Linked DNA regions of Saccharomyces cerevisiae S288C. The protein of the gene in region 3 interacts with the protein of the main gene of each other region in a biochemical or structural test. Each region holds a gene or a part of one and is shown on either strand. Other genes may lie near its edges.

What was found. The genes of interacting proteins can lie anywhere in the genome.
Region 1: the proteins of GRX3 (region 3) and BOL2 form a complex in vitro, tested with the Saccharomyces cerevisiae proteins (4 studies listed by BioGRID).
Region 2: the proteins of GRX3 (region 3) and AFT2 form a complex in vitro, tested with the Saccharomyces cerevisiae proteins (2 studies listed by BioGRID).

What each region holds. Positions count from the first base shown.
Region 1 is NC_001139.9:80,469-83,236, reverse strand, and holds BOL2 (Bol2p), read right to left. Parts: upstream 864-2,768; coding exon 501-863; downstream 1-500. Other genes in the region: ERMES complex subunit MDM34, read left to right, coding at 1-359; NIF3 (uncharacterized protein), read left to right, coding at 945-1,811; EDC1 (Edc1p), read left to right, coding at 2,051-2,578. UniProt on the Saccharomyces cerevisiae protein: Involved in the regulation of the iron regulon in response to decreased mitochondrial iron-sulfur cluster synthesis. May be involved in mitochondrial organization and biogenesis.
Region 2 is NC_001148.4:167,588-171,467, forward strand, and holds AFT2 (Aft2p), read right to left. Parts: upstream 1,752-3,880; coding exon 501-1,751; downstream 1-500. Other genes in the region: YIG1 (Yig1p), read right to left, coding at 2,183-3,568. UniProt on the Saccharomyces cerevisiae protein: Transcription factor required for iron homeostasis and resistance to oxidative stress. With AFT1, activates the gene expression in response to low-iron conditions, also called iron regulon.
Region 3 is NC_001136.10:643,678-650,631, reverse strand, and holds GRX3 (monothiol glutaredoxin GRX3), read left to right. Parts: upstream 1-5,701; coding exon 5,702-6,454; downstream 6,455-6,954. Other genes in the region: YDR098C-A (gag protein), read left to right, coding at 1-828; mismatch repair ATPase MSH6, read left to right, coding at 6,795-6,954.

The DNA of each region.
Region 1 (2,768 bases), on a different chromosome or scaffold from region 3:
GCAACGACGACAATGCCAAACCAAGGAGAAGAAAGATCAAATGCAAAAAGACCCGCACACCATCGAACCTACAATCACAAGGAGAACAGGCTGTTGATGATAGTACTGCTATTGAAACAGTTACGTCCACACCGGTCCAAACACCGATACCCGAGCTTGAAGAACAATCTCCCCCATATTTGAAAACAACAGTATCGATAAGGGATAAATACGTTATACCAGAAAAAATATCGCTAAATTTGGACTCCAAGAAAGATACATCTAAAAAGAAACCGTTTTACTTCATAGGTTTGAACTCGCAAGAACCTTCAAATAACTGGAAATGGGGCATGGAGGATAGCCCCCCACCATATCATTAAATTAAGTTACATATCTAAGTACATAACTACACAAATACATACTCTCCGATGTAAATAACGTAAGAAAGCAAAATCGTCTATGCCAAAAAGATTCAATGCCGTCTCCTTTCGAAACTTAATAATAGAACAATATCATCCTTTTCATACCACAATCTTAGACCATTCCTCCTCAGTGTAGCACTTGCAGCTAAAGGCATGAATCTCCTGCAGCTCTTCTTTCACAGCCTTGTTCACTGCACGACTCCTCATTAGTTTGCTTTTACCTTGAAAGAAGTCGCTGACCACCACAATATCAAACGACTGACCACAACCGTACGAAAGATCCGTCACAATGATATGGTAAACTTGCGGTATGGCTGATTCTATCCTCTCGCGGAGTCCCTGTTCAGTAACGGGCATCTTATAGTGTCGTTGGCGCTTTGTTTCTCTCCACTGAGTTGTTAGGAAATGTGATTTTGCAAATTCGTCATTTATTTTCACCTTTTCAATTCTTTCACCTGTCATATATATGTATATATATAACACCGAAAAACTTATTCCAATACACAGTCGGAAGGAAACAGAACAAGAGTCCACCGAAACGCAATGAGCAGAGCTATTACTAGAGCACAATTGGACAAACTTGTGCGTAGCATTACCAAGTTCTACCCTCAAAAGTACGCAGACAAGAGCTGGGACAATACGGGTCTTCTCATCGATTGTTCCACTGCACAAGTCACCACTGCCGATGCAAACGCTAAAACAAAGGTCCTTTTGACTGTAGACCTCACGAAGTCAGTTGCTCAAGAAGCTGTGGATGCTAACTGCAACGTAATTGTTGCTTACCATCCTTTTATTTTCCCAAGCTGGAACAGATTAAGCCCACATACAAACCCACAACACGAGACAGCTATAAAGCTAATCCAGTACGGAATATCCGTATACTGCCCTCACACTGCCGTAGATGCCGCTCGTGGCGGTGTAAATGACTGGTTGGTTAGGGGTTTGAACAACGGAGAGAACGTCGCAAAGTCTTATGCCTTGGAAACTGTAAGTGGCGAAACTGACGACTTGATTGGCTACGGTAGATTCGTAGAATTCAATAAAGACATCTCTTTGGAGCAAATTGTCAAAAATGTCAAGCGTGTTTTACGGGTTCCCTATGTACAAGTAGCATCTCTTGCTGCTCCATCCGCATGGAATCAACTCAAAATCAAAAAAGTCGCTGTCTGTGCCGGGAGCGGTTCTGGCGTGTTTAAGCAACTAAAAGAGGACGTAGACCTTTACTATACGGGAGAAATGTCACATCATGAAGTACTGAAGTGGAAAGAAATGGGCAAGACCGTTATTGTTTGCAACCACTCAAATACTGAGCGTGGATTCCTTCAAGACGTTATGAAGGGCTTGTTGCAAGATGAGGGCCACGAAGTAGTCGTAAGCAAAATGGATTGCGATCCTTTGACTGTTGCATAGCTGCTAGTAATTATATGGCTATATAGGATATCACAAATACCATACGTACTACAGTTTTATCATCCGGCTGTTCGTGTAAAATGATGTTGTTGTATCGGATAGAGAAATACGGATAGAAAAGGTAAAAGTCTTCAAATAACAAGGACAATAACATACTCTGTATTGAAGACGAAGTACTCAGCAAAGCGTAACGTAATTACACTTAGCACACAAATATACTCACACAAATATTACAAGGCATGTCGACGGATACCATGTATTTCAACAGCTCCAGGCTGTTGCCATCGGCTGGCAGGAACAAGACAAATAATCTAATCAAACAAAAAACTAGAAATAATCGTGCGAGGGGAAATGCTGCTAAGAACGCCAATAATAACAACTATATCACAGATATACCACCTCCTCAAACTCTTCCTAACGGTCAGAAACCTAACTTCGGCCATTCTTCCAACAAGAAACCATCATTTAATCAAAAGAAGCACTCTCCACCTTCTTCCCCTTCCTCTACAACTACTTTAGGTAAAAAAAACAGACAGAATAATAAAGAAACGCCACGACAGAACAACAAAGATGATACTCGTTTACTGAGTCAGAACCTAAAGAATCTGCTTCTGAACCAGAAACAATCCCCGCATGGCTCTCAAGGGATAATACCAATGGGTTGTAATGGCAGTGCCAAAAAACTCAGTCACTCTTATGCAGGCTCCACTTTCGCCACTAATGGTCCAAGGGAGGCTAAAAACTTGCCCAAACCAAGTTTTTTATAATCACCCTTTAGAGAGACATTTTTGATTTTTTTTTTTTTTTTTTTTTTTTTTTTTTTAGAATAATGCATATTTTTATTTGATATATACCTATGTACCAATTATACGAATGCTTATGTCTGTTTTGGATCTGGTCATCCAAAGCAATTTCTCAGATGACAATTTTTTTTTCCTATTTTCTGTTACAGTTCAT
Region 2 (3,880 bases), on a different chromosome or scaffold from region 3:
TGCCCTAAATATCTTCTATACTACAATTCATTTTAATTCAATATCATATTTAAGTTGAGGGCATTTAGATCTTAGAGATTCATCTAAAAATAGGAGGGGTGATGTATAGAAAATGTTCGAATATCATTCCTCTGCTTTTTTCTATATGATTATTTCCTATATGAGCTTTTACTTACTGATCTCATGATCTCAGTGCAAAAATTAGGGGACCGGCACGCCTGAAAGTTTTTTAGATAATTGAATGTTGCGGTGCATTACCTATGAAAAGATGAAGCGCACGTGAACCATATTATAATCAACAAACTTGAAGAATAAAACTTTTGAGCGCATGAAGCCATGATATATCTTATTTGTATCGACATGCTTTAAGTCCTCCGTAGCTTTAAAAAGTCTAAGGTCCAAAATCCCTCGATGGTGCTGATATCACCATTATTCATGTCCATCAGATCTTGTCACATATTTAAACGTGATACCGTTTTAATGAGTTGAAAACTAAATAATTAATATTTTGATATTAAGGCTGGGTCAATAGAATTTAATTCATTAAAATGCTCATCGTTGAAATGAAGCAACGCTTCGTAGTTGTAGTTTAACATGCCAAAATTTTCGTTTCTCTCTTTGCCTAAGTTCGTAGCAATATCTGTATCAGCAGTTGGTGCGTTGCTTTTGGTATCTTTGGAAACTTTAATGATCTCATCTCCATAAGGAGCGTCTGTTTCCATAAAATTTGGTGAAGATGTTGTTGATTCTGACAGGGCTATATCCATTTTGCTTTGTGACAAGGGCCTCGTTGGTGTTGAAGGAAGTATACAAGAAGAGGACGAAGGACCTGGTGTAGGTTCTGTCAAAAGTTCCATCAGGCCTTGGTTGTAATTTTGGATGAAATTGTCGTTGCAAAACATGTTCGTAAAATCAATTTCGTTTAAGTTCGTTAAAGAATCTTCTTTCTCTATCTTTACACAGGAATTCCGCGTTTTGAAATTGTCTAAAAATCCGGTATCATGTAGATCCGCATCCAACTTCGTTTTCAACCTTGGCCTAGGTTTCGAATTATCCATCTGTCTGGATTTTATTTTAGAAACGGAGTTTTTATTTGTTTTGAGCAAATTTTTTTTAGACGTCAAAGGGGGGTTTGATAGTGGGAGAAAAATGTTATTGAAAGCTTCAATTTCCTTGGTTAACCCACAGTCACAAGAAATAATTGGTGTGACGAGTGGTAAGTTTAGACTTGCTTTATATTCTAATTCATCAAATGTTTTGATGGCTTTTTCGTCGTTCTTCTGACGAAGATTTTCCTTAAACTTTTTATAGTCATCCGTTTTAGTAATCAAATCAAATCTCAGCTCATGTGAATGTATGTTATTCATAACAACCACGTTCCACTTCTGTAACCGCACAGAGTAGGCTGCTCTAATTCTAAATGGACATGCATGGGATCTTGAAGAGGAACCTTTGGATTTAGGGTTCAACCCTACTTTCGATCGTACTGACCTACACTTAAAAGTAACTTTGCTACTATCTGATCTTTCGATGACTATATCTATTCCTTGAGGATAGAATATTTTCTGTAGCCACGGTTTAATCTCGTGCCTGTCCTCAAAAGACGGAACTGGGTCTAAATGAATAAGTTTATTTTGGTCTTTAGACATCATAGATGCTAGATTATCGGGAGATGCTGTTAACTTCATTTTCCCTGTTTTAGACACTGATATTGGCACAGATATTATGCTCTTCATCGACTTTGCTTTCATTTCTTGGGGGTCGCTTTCTCTTGATTAATTTGCGCCAGAGTTTCTGGTCACTACAACAAATTTTTTGAATGAGTCGTGTTCACTATTATGTATAGGTCCATCAGTTTAATTTGCACAGTTTTTGCCTTAATCAAAAGAAAATCAATTCTGACTAAAAGAAAGCCACTTTACCGATCTCGGCCCACGAAACGATTTTTTTTTTTACGGTGCTTTTTTCTTTCTTTTTTTTGTTCTTTCTATTTTTTCCCTTTGCTTTTCGCACAATACCGCTTACCGTCAATCGAATAATGAATGGCTCTGGTATCGTTCAATAAAATGAGAAACGTGCTTCCAGTTCAAAACCAAACAGCTCAGACAGGTTAAAGTGAAGAAGTTGAGATATATACAAATTAATGTCACTGTTATTTTTTTTATTTACATTTCCTTAACCTTTATTTAAGAAGAATTGTTTGAATGTTATTGTCATCAGTAAGAATTGTCAGCACTGGGCTATTTACAGAGGGACAGTTACCAACAAAGAGATCTTTGACACTCCTTATACCGTATTTGGCCCTAATGTCTGAGTAGCCCACGAACAGCCACCGTTTGAAAGATATAGAGTACTTGTATACCGATAACGCTGTTCCGTAGAGATGTTGCTCGGTTATAAAAATATACTTCCCATTGTTTGCTATCTGACGTCCTGTTCCTGAAGCATGGACATGAAGTTCTTGTGTCTTGTAAAATATTGGATAAACCTCGCTGTCTGAGACGGGTGGAGAAGAATTTGAATTCTCTATGGGGTCTCTTGTTGGAATGGACAGATATCTCATGTTGGTTTCGAGTAAAATGTGATTCGTTTTAAGAAGATAGTCGATCTTTTGAACGTCTTCGTCTATTTTAAGCATAAAGTTTATTTCCTTGTTTAGCGTGGAAGCATCCGATCCTAATAGATTCTTGCAGTGGAAAATCATATCATTTCCTTTGTATAAAGTAAACTGAGGGAAATTTAAAACGGACTTGACATTTGTGGTCGTGCGTAGATCTACAGGCAAATCAATGTTGGTATGGAAACTTTGAAAACTTCCATTGCTTTGTTGGTGATCTAAAGAAGTTATTAGCAGCCCATCTTTCAAACTAAAAGAAACAACGAAATGTGGCAACAAACCTGCCCAGACATTTAATATAGATAGGTGGCTTTGATGAGAGGAAGTTGAAGGATCCTTCAAAAGCAAGTGATTGTTTACGTTTCCGTTCAAGTCGCAGTTTAGCTTTAACAACTTTCCATTCTGAAATCCAACTAAAATTTGAATGGTGTTTGAATTATAACCAAAATTGCAGTCCATACATATTATTGCGTCCGATAGCAGTAAATTCAACTGCCCGTAAAATTGCTGCTTAATAAAAATCAAATGTTGGCCGTTAAAGTCATACAGCAGTAATTTTTTGTCCTCTGCTTGATTAGAATAAAAAATCCAGTACTTGCTATTGAAATTTCTAAAACTTTTGAAACTTTGTAAATCGTGGGTAGTAAAATAGTTATTAATCCGTACAAATTCCAACCCACGGTTACTTCGAAAAACATCTTCAAGTTCCTTTTCTTCGTCACCATCATCGTCTTCTTCAGAATAGTTTCCAACATCTCCACCATCCTCTCCGACATTGCTAAAGGTAAGCTGGTCGATATGTTCCTTTATCGTATCTGGAAGCTGTGGGTAATCATTATTCACCGTGTAGTTGCCATACTTGCTCGCCCGTTCGTCAAATACGTTCTGATATCTCGTGTGGTAAAATTGCACCCCCTTCCCATCCTGGTATATTTGCATAGGTATACCCATGATTTCGTTATGATTATTTTCTTTCTTGAGGGTGTTTAGCAATACATTATTATCCTTGTGATTTCGCTTATACACATGTAGGATTTCCTCCTTATATATTACAAGTGTGTCACCATTTCCGGCCCACCAATAGCCGCCGACCTCCAAATTACCCCAAATAAAAAAAAAGAAAACTCCGGAAATGCGGGGTTGAGCTGCAATATAATAATAATATGGCAACTTTAGCCGCGCAATCGAAGATACAGTAAATATAGTAAAAACGTGTCTGCAAATGGCTACTTTCGATCCTTCTTCCCAAAAGGCAATATTGCA
Region 3 (6,954 bases):
AAAAAATATGTCAGACCACCACCAATGTTAACCTCACCTAATGACTTTCCAAATTGGGTTAAAACATACATCAAATTTTTACAAAACTCGAATCTCGGTGGTATTATTCCGACAGTAAACGGAAAACCCGTACGTCAGATCACTGATGATGAACTCACCTTCTTGTATAACACTTTTCAAATATTTGCTCCCTCTCAATTCCTACCTACCTGGGTCAAAGACATCCTATCCGTTGATTATACGGATATCATGAAAATTCTTTCCAAAAGTATTGAAAAAATGCAATCTGATACCCAAGAGGCAAACGACATTGTGACCCTGGCAAATTTGCAATATAATGGCAGTACACCTGCAGATGCATTTGAAACAAAAGTCACAAACATTATCGACAGACTGAACAATAATGGCATTCATATCAATAACAAGGTCGCATGCCAATTAATTATGAGAGGTCTATCTGGCGAATATAAATTTTTACGCTACACACGTCATCGACATCTAAATATGACAGTCGCTGAACTGTTCTTAGATATCCATGCTATTTATGAAGAACAACAGGGATCGAGAAACAGCAAACCTAATTACAGGAGAAATCCGAGTGATGAGAAGAATGATTCTCGCAGCTATACGAATACAACCAAACCCAAAGTTATAGCTCGGAATCCTCAAAAAACAAATAATTCGAAATCGAAAACAGCCAGGGCTCACAATGTATCCACATCTAATAACTCTCCCAGCACGGACAACGATTCCATCAGTAAATCAACTACTGAACCGATTCAATTGAACAATAAGCACGACCTTCATCTTAGGCCAGGAACTTACTGAATCTACGGTAAATCACACTAATCATTCTGATGATGAACTCCCTGGACACCTCCTTCTCGATTCAGGAGCATCACGAACCCTTATAAGATCTGCTCACCACATACACTCAGCATCATCTAATCCTGGCATAAACGTAGTTGATGCTCAAAAAAGAAATATACCAATTAACGCTATTGGTGACCTACAATTTCACTTCCAGGACAACACCAAAACATCAATAAAGGTATTGCACACTCCTAACATAGCCTATGACTTACTCAGTTTGAATGAATTGGCTGCAGTAGATATCACAGCATGCTTTACCAAAAACGTCTTAGAACGATCTGACGGCACTGTACTTGCACCTATCGTAAAATATGGAGACTTTTACTGGGTATCTAAAAAGTACTTGCTTCCATCAAATATCTCCGTACCCACCATCAATAATGTCCATACAAGTGAAAGTACACGCAAATATCCTTATCCTTTCATTCATCGAATGCTTGCGCATGCCAATGCACAGACAATTCGATACTCACTTAAAAATAACACCATCACGTATTTTAACGAATCAGATGTCGACTGGTCTAGTGCTATTGACTATCAATGTCCTGATTGTTTAATCGGCAAAAGCACCAAACACAGACATATCAAAGGTTCACGACTAAAATACCAAAATTCATACGAACCCTTTCAATACCTACATACTGACATATTTGGTCCAGTTCACAACCTACCAAATAGTGCACCATCCTATTTCATCTCATTTACTGATGAGACAACAAAATTCCGTTGGGTTTATCCATTACACGACCGTCGCGAGGACTCTATCCTCGATGTTTTTACTACGATACTAGCTTTTATTAAAAACCAGTTTCAGGCCAGTGTCTTGGTTATACAAATGGACCGTGGTTCTGAGTATACTAACAGAACTCTCCATAAATTCCTTGAAAAAAATGGTATAACTCCATGCTATACAACCACAGCGGATTCCCGAGCACATGGAGTCGCTGAACGGCTAAACCGTACCTTATTAGATGACTGCCGTACTCAACTGCAATGTAGTGGTTTACCGAACCATTTATGGTTCTCTGCAATCGAATTTTCTACTATTGTGAGAAATTCACTAGCTTCACCTAAAAGCAAAAAATCTGCAAGACAACATGCTGGCTTGGCAGGACTTGATATCAGTACTTTGTTACCTTTCGGTCAACCTGTTATCGTCAATGATCACAACCCTAACTCCAAAATACATCCTCGTGGCATCCCAGGCTACGCTCTACATCCGTCTCGAAACTCTTATGGATATATCATCTATCTTCCATCCTTAAAGAAGACAGTAGATACAACTAACTATGTTATTCTTCAGGGCAAGGAATCCAGATTAGATCAATTCAATTACGACGCACTCACTTTCGATGAAGACTTAAACCGTTTAACTGCTTCATATCATTCGTTCATTGCGTCAAATGAGATCCAAGAATCCAATGATCTTAACATAGAATCTGACCATGACTTCCAATCCGACATTGAACTACATCCTGAGCAACCGAGAAATGTCCTTTCAAAAGCTGTGAGTCCAACCGATTCCACACCTCCGTCAACTCATACTGAAGATTCGAAACGTGTTTCTAAAACCAATATTCGCGCACCCAGAGAAGTTGACCCCAACATATCTGAATCTAATATTCTTCCATCAAAGAAGAGATCTAGCACCCCCCAAATTTCCAATATCGAGAGTACCGGTTCGGGTGGTATGCATAAATTAAATGTTCCTTTACTTGCTCCCATGTCCCAATCTAACACACATGAGTCGTCGCACGCCAGTAAATCTAAAGATTTCAGACACTCAGACTCGTACAGTGAAAATGAGACTAATCATACAAACGTACCAATATCCAGTACGGGTGGTACCAACAACAAAACTGTTCCGCAGATAAGTGACCAAGAGACTGAGAAAAGGATTATACACCGTTCACCTTCAATCGATGCTTCTCCACCGGAAAATAATTCATCGCACAATATTGTTCCTATCAAAACGCCAACTACTGTTTCTGAACAGAATACCGAGGAATCTATCATCGCTGATCTCCCACTCCCTGATCTACCTCCAGAATCTCCTACCGAATTCCCTGACCCATTTAAAGAACTCCCACCGATAAATTCTCATCAAACTAATTCCAGTTTGGGTGGTATTGGTGACTCTAATGCCTATACTACTATCAACAGTAAGAAAAGATCATTAGAAGATAATGAAACTGAAATTAAGGTATCACGAGACACATGGAATACTAAGAATATGCGTAGTTTAGAACCTCCGAGATCGAAGAAACGAATTCACCTGATTGCAGCTGTAAAAGCAGTAAAATCAATCAAACCAATACGGACAACCTTAAGATACGATGAGGCAATCACCTATAATAAAGATATTAAAGAAAAGGAAAAATATATCGAAGCATACCACAAAGAAGTCAACCAACTATTGAAAATGAATACTTGGGACACTGACAAATATTATGACAGAAAAGAAATAGACCCTAAAAGAGTAATAAATTCAATGTTTATCTTCAACAGGAAACGTGACGGTACTCATAAAGCTAGATTTGTTGCAAGAGGTGATATTCAGCATCCTGACACTTACGACTCAGGCATGCAATCCAATACCGTACATCACTATGCATTAATGACATCCCTGTCACTTGCATTAGACAATAACTACTATATTACACAATTAGACATATCTTCGGCATATTTGTATGCAGACATCAAAGAAGAATTATACATAAGACCTCCACCACATTTAGGAATGAATGATAAGTTGATACGTTTGAAGAAATCACTTTATGGATTGAAACAAAGTGGAGCGAACTGGTACGAAACTATCAAATCATACCTGATAAAACAGTGTGGTATGGAAGAAGTTCGTGGATGGTCATGCGTATTTAAGAATAGTCAAGTAACAATTTGCTTATTCGTTGATGATATGATATTGTTCAGCAAAGACTTAAATGCAAATAAGAAAATCATAACAACACTCAAGAAACAATACGATACAAAGATAATAAATCTGGGTGAAGGTGATAACGAAATTCAGTACGACATACTTGGATTAGAGATCAAATATCAAAGAAGCAAGTACATGAAATTAGGTATGGAAAAATCCTTGACAGAAAAATTACCCAAACTAAACGTACCTTTGAACCCAAAAGGAAAGAAACTTAGAGCTCCAGGTCAACCAGGTCATTATATAGACCAGGATGAACTAGAAATAGATGAAGATGAATACAAAGAGAAAGTGCATGAAATGCAAAAGTTGATTGGTCTAGCTTCATATGTTGGATATAAATTTAGATTTGACTTACTATACTACATCAACACACTTGCTCAACATATACTATTCCCCTCTAGGCAAGTTTTAGACATGACATATGAGTTAATACAATTCATGTGGGACACTAGAGATAAACAATTAATATGGCACAAAAACAAACCTACCAAGCCAGATAATAAACTAGTCGCAATAAGCGATGCTTCATATGGTAACCAACCATATTACAAGTCACAAATTGGTAACATTTTCCTACTCAACGGAAAAGTGATTGGAGGAAAGTCGACAAAGGCTTCGTTAACATGCACTTCAACTACAGAAGCAGAAATACACGCAGTCAGTGAAGCTATTCCGCTATTGAATAACCTCAGTCACCTTGTGCAAGAACTTAACAAGAAACCAATTATTAAAGGCTCACTTACTGATAGTAGATCAACGATCAGTATAATTAAGTCTACAAATGAAGAGAAATTTAGAAACAGATTTTTTGGCACAAAGGCAATGAGACTTAGAGATGAAGTATCAGGTAATAATTTATACGTATACTACATCGAGACCAAGAAGAACATTGCTGATGTGATGACAAAACCTCTTCCGATAAAAACATTTAAACTATTAACAAACAAATGGATTCATTAGATCTATTACATTATGGGTGGTATGTTGGAATAAAAATCAACTATCATCTACTAACTAGTATTTACGTTACTAGTATATTATCATATACGGTGTTAGAAGATGACGCAAATGATGAGAAATAGTCATCTAAATTAGTGGAAGCTGAAACGCAAGGATTGATAATGTAATAGGATCAATGAATATTAACATATAAAACGATGATAATAATATTTATAGAATTGTGTAGAATTGCAGATTCCCTTTTATGGATTCCTAAATCCTCGAGGAGAACTTCTAGTATATTCTGTATACCTAATATTATAGCCTTTATCAACAATGGAATCCCAACAATTATCTAATTACCCACATATATCTCAATAACAAAACGAACAACATGAGATAAAACACGGCCTTCCCTAGCTGAACTACCCAAACGTATAAATGCTTGAACAATTAGTTTAGATCCGAGATTCCGCGCTTCCACCACTTAGTATGATTCATATTTTATATAATATATAAGATAAGTGACATTCCGTGAATTAATCTGATAAACTGTTTTGACAACTGGTTACTTCCCTAAGACTGTTTATATTAGGATTGTCAAGACACTGCGGTATTACTCGAGCCCGTAATACAACAATACACAGTTGTTACGGTCCTATAGTGTAGTGGTTATCACTTTCGGTTTTGATCCGGACAACCCCGGTTCGAATCCGGGTAGGACCTTTTTTAACTGTGGCTTCTCTGTTGAACCATCAGTTACTTTTTTTTTTTTTCAGAGAATGTGTGCCGGGTCATGAGATGCCAAACTAAGAGGTCATTAAAATATATTTCAAAGACTAAATGTGTTCTTTTCAGGTTCCATCTGCATTTTCTTTTAACTACACCTCGTACTGTTATAAACGCCACCAAGCAAGATATTACACAGCAGCAAAACTTTTTCAGGAAATGCCTGTTATTGAAATTAACGATCAAGAGCAATTTACTTACCTAACTACCACTGCGGCCGGCGACAAGTTAATCGTGCTTTATTTCCATACCAGTTGGGCAGAACCATGCAAAGCATTAAAGCAGGTTTTTGAGGCCATTAGTAATGAGCCTTCCAATTCCAACGTCTCTTTCTTATCCATTGATGCGGACGAAAACTCGGAAATTTCAGAACTTTTTGAAATCTCAGCTGTTCCATATTTTATCATAATTCACAAAGGGACAATCTTAAAAGAATTATCCGGCGCGGATCCAAAGGAGTATGTGTCTTTATTAGAAGACTGCAAGAACTCAGTCAATTCCGGATCATCACAAACTCATACTATGGAAAATGCAAACGTAAATGAGGGGAGTCATAATGATGAAGACGATGACGACGAAGAAGAGGAAGAAGAAACTGAGGAGCAAATAAACGCTAGATTGACTAAATTGGTCAATGCCGCGCCGGTAATGTTATTTATGAAGGGGAGCCCCTCTGAACCTAAATGCGGGTTTTCGAGACAACTTGTGGGTATCTTGAGAGAACATCAAGTAAGATTTGGCTTCTTTGATATATTAAGAGACGAATCTGTTAGACAAAACTTGAAAAAGTTTTCTGAATGGCCAACTTTCCCTCAACTTTATATAAATGGGGAGTTTCAAGGCGGTTTAGACATTATCAAGGAATCCTTGGAGGAAGACCCTGATTTTTTGCAGCATGCTCTCCAATCTTAAATAAATAGATGTATTTAGTGTAAATTGAAACAGAAAAGTCTCCATTTCCAACTAATGGTATGCAAGCATTTTTATATGTGTGACATAATGAATGGCTTCTGGTTAAGTTTGGCTTTTTGAACAACCATTGCCCGGAGAAAATAAACGCGTGAGCAGTAGCTGATACGCGTCTCACTTTTTCATAAATTCATGTATAGGTCATCGCCATATAGAGAAAATATTTGAAATTACATCTGTTGAAACTAATAAGAGCTTTTCCTTGGAGCCTTCTTTGCTAACAGATAAGATTTTTTAATTGGAGCAACTAGTTAATTTTGACAAAGCCAATTTGAACTCCAAAATGGCCCCAGCTACCCCTAAAACTTCTAAGACTGCACACTTCGAAAATGGCTCCACATCTTCTCAAAAGAAAATGAAGCAATCGAGTTTGTTATCTTTTTTCTCAAAACAGGTACCTTCTGGCACACCGTCAAAGAAGGTCCAGAAGCCTACTCCAGCGA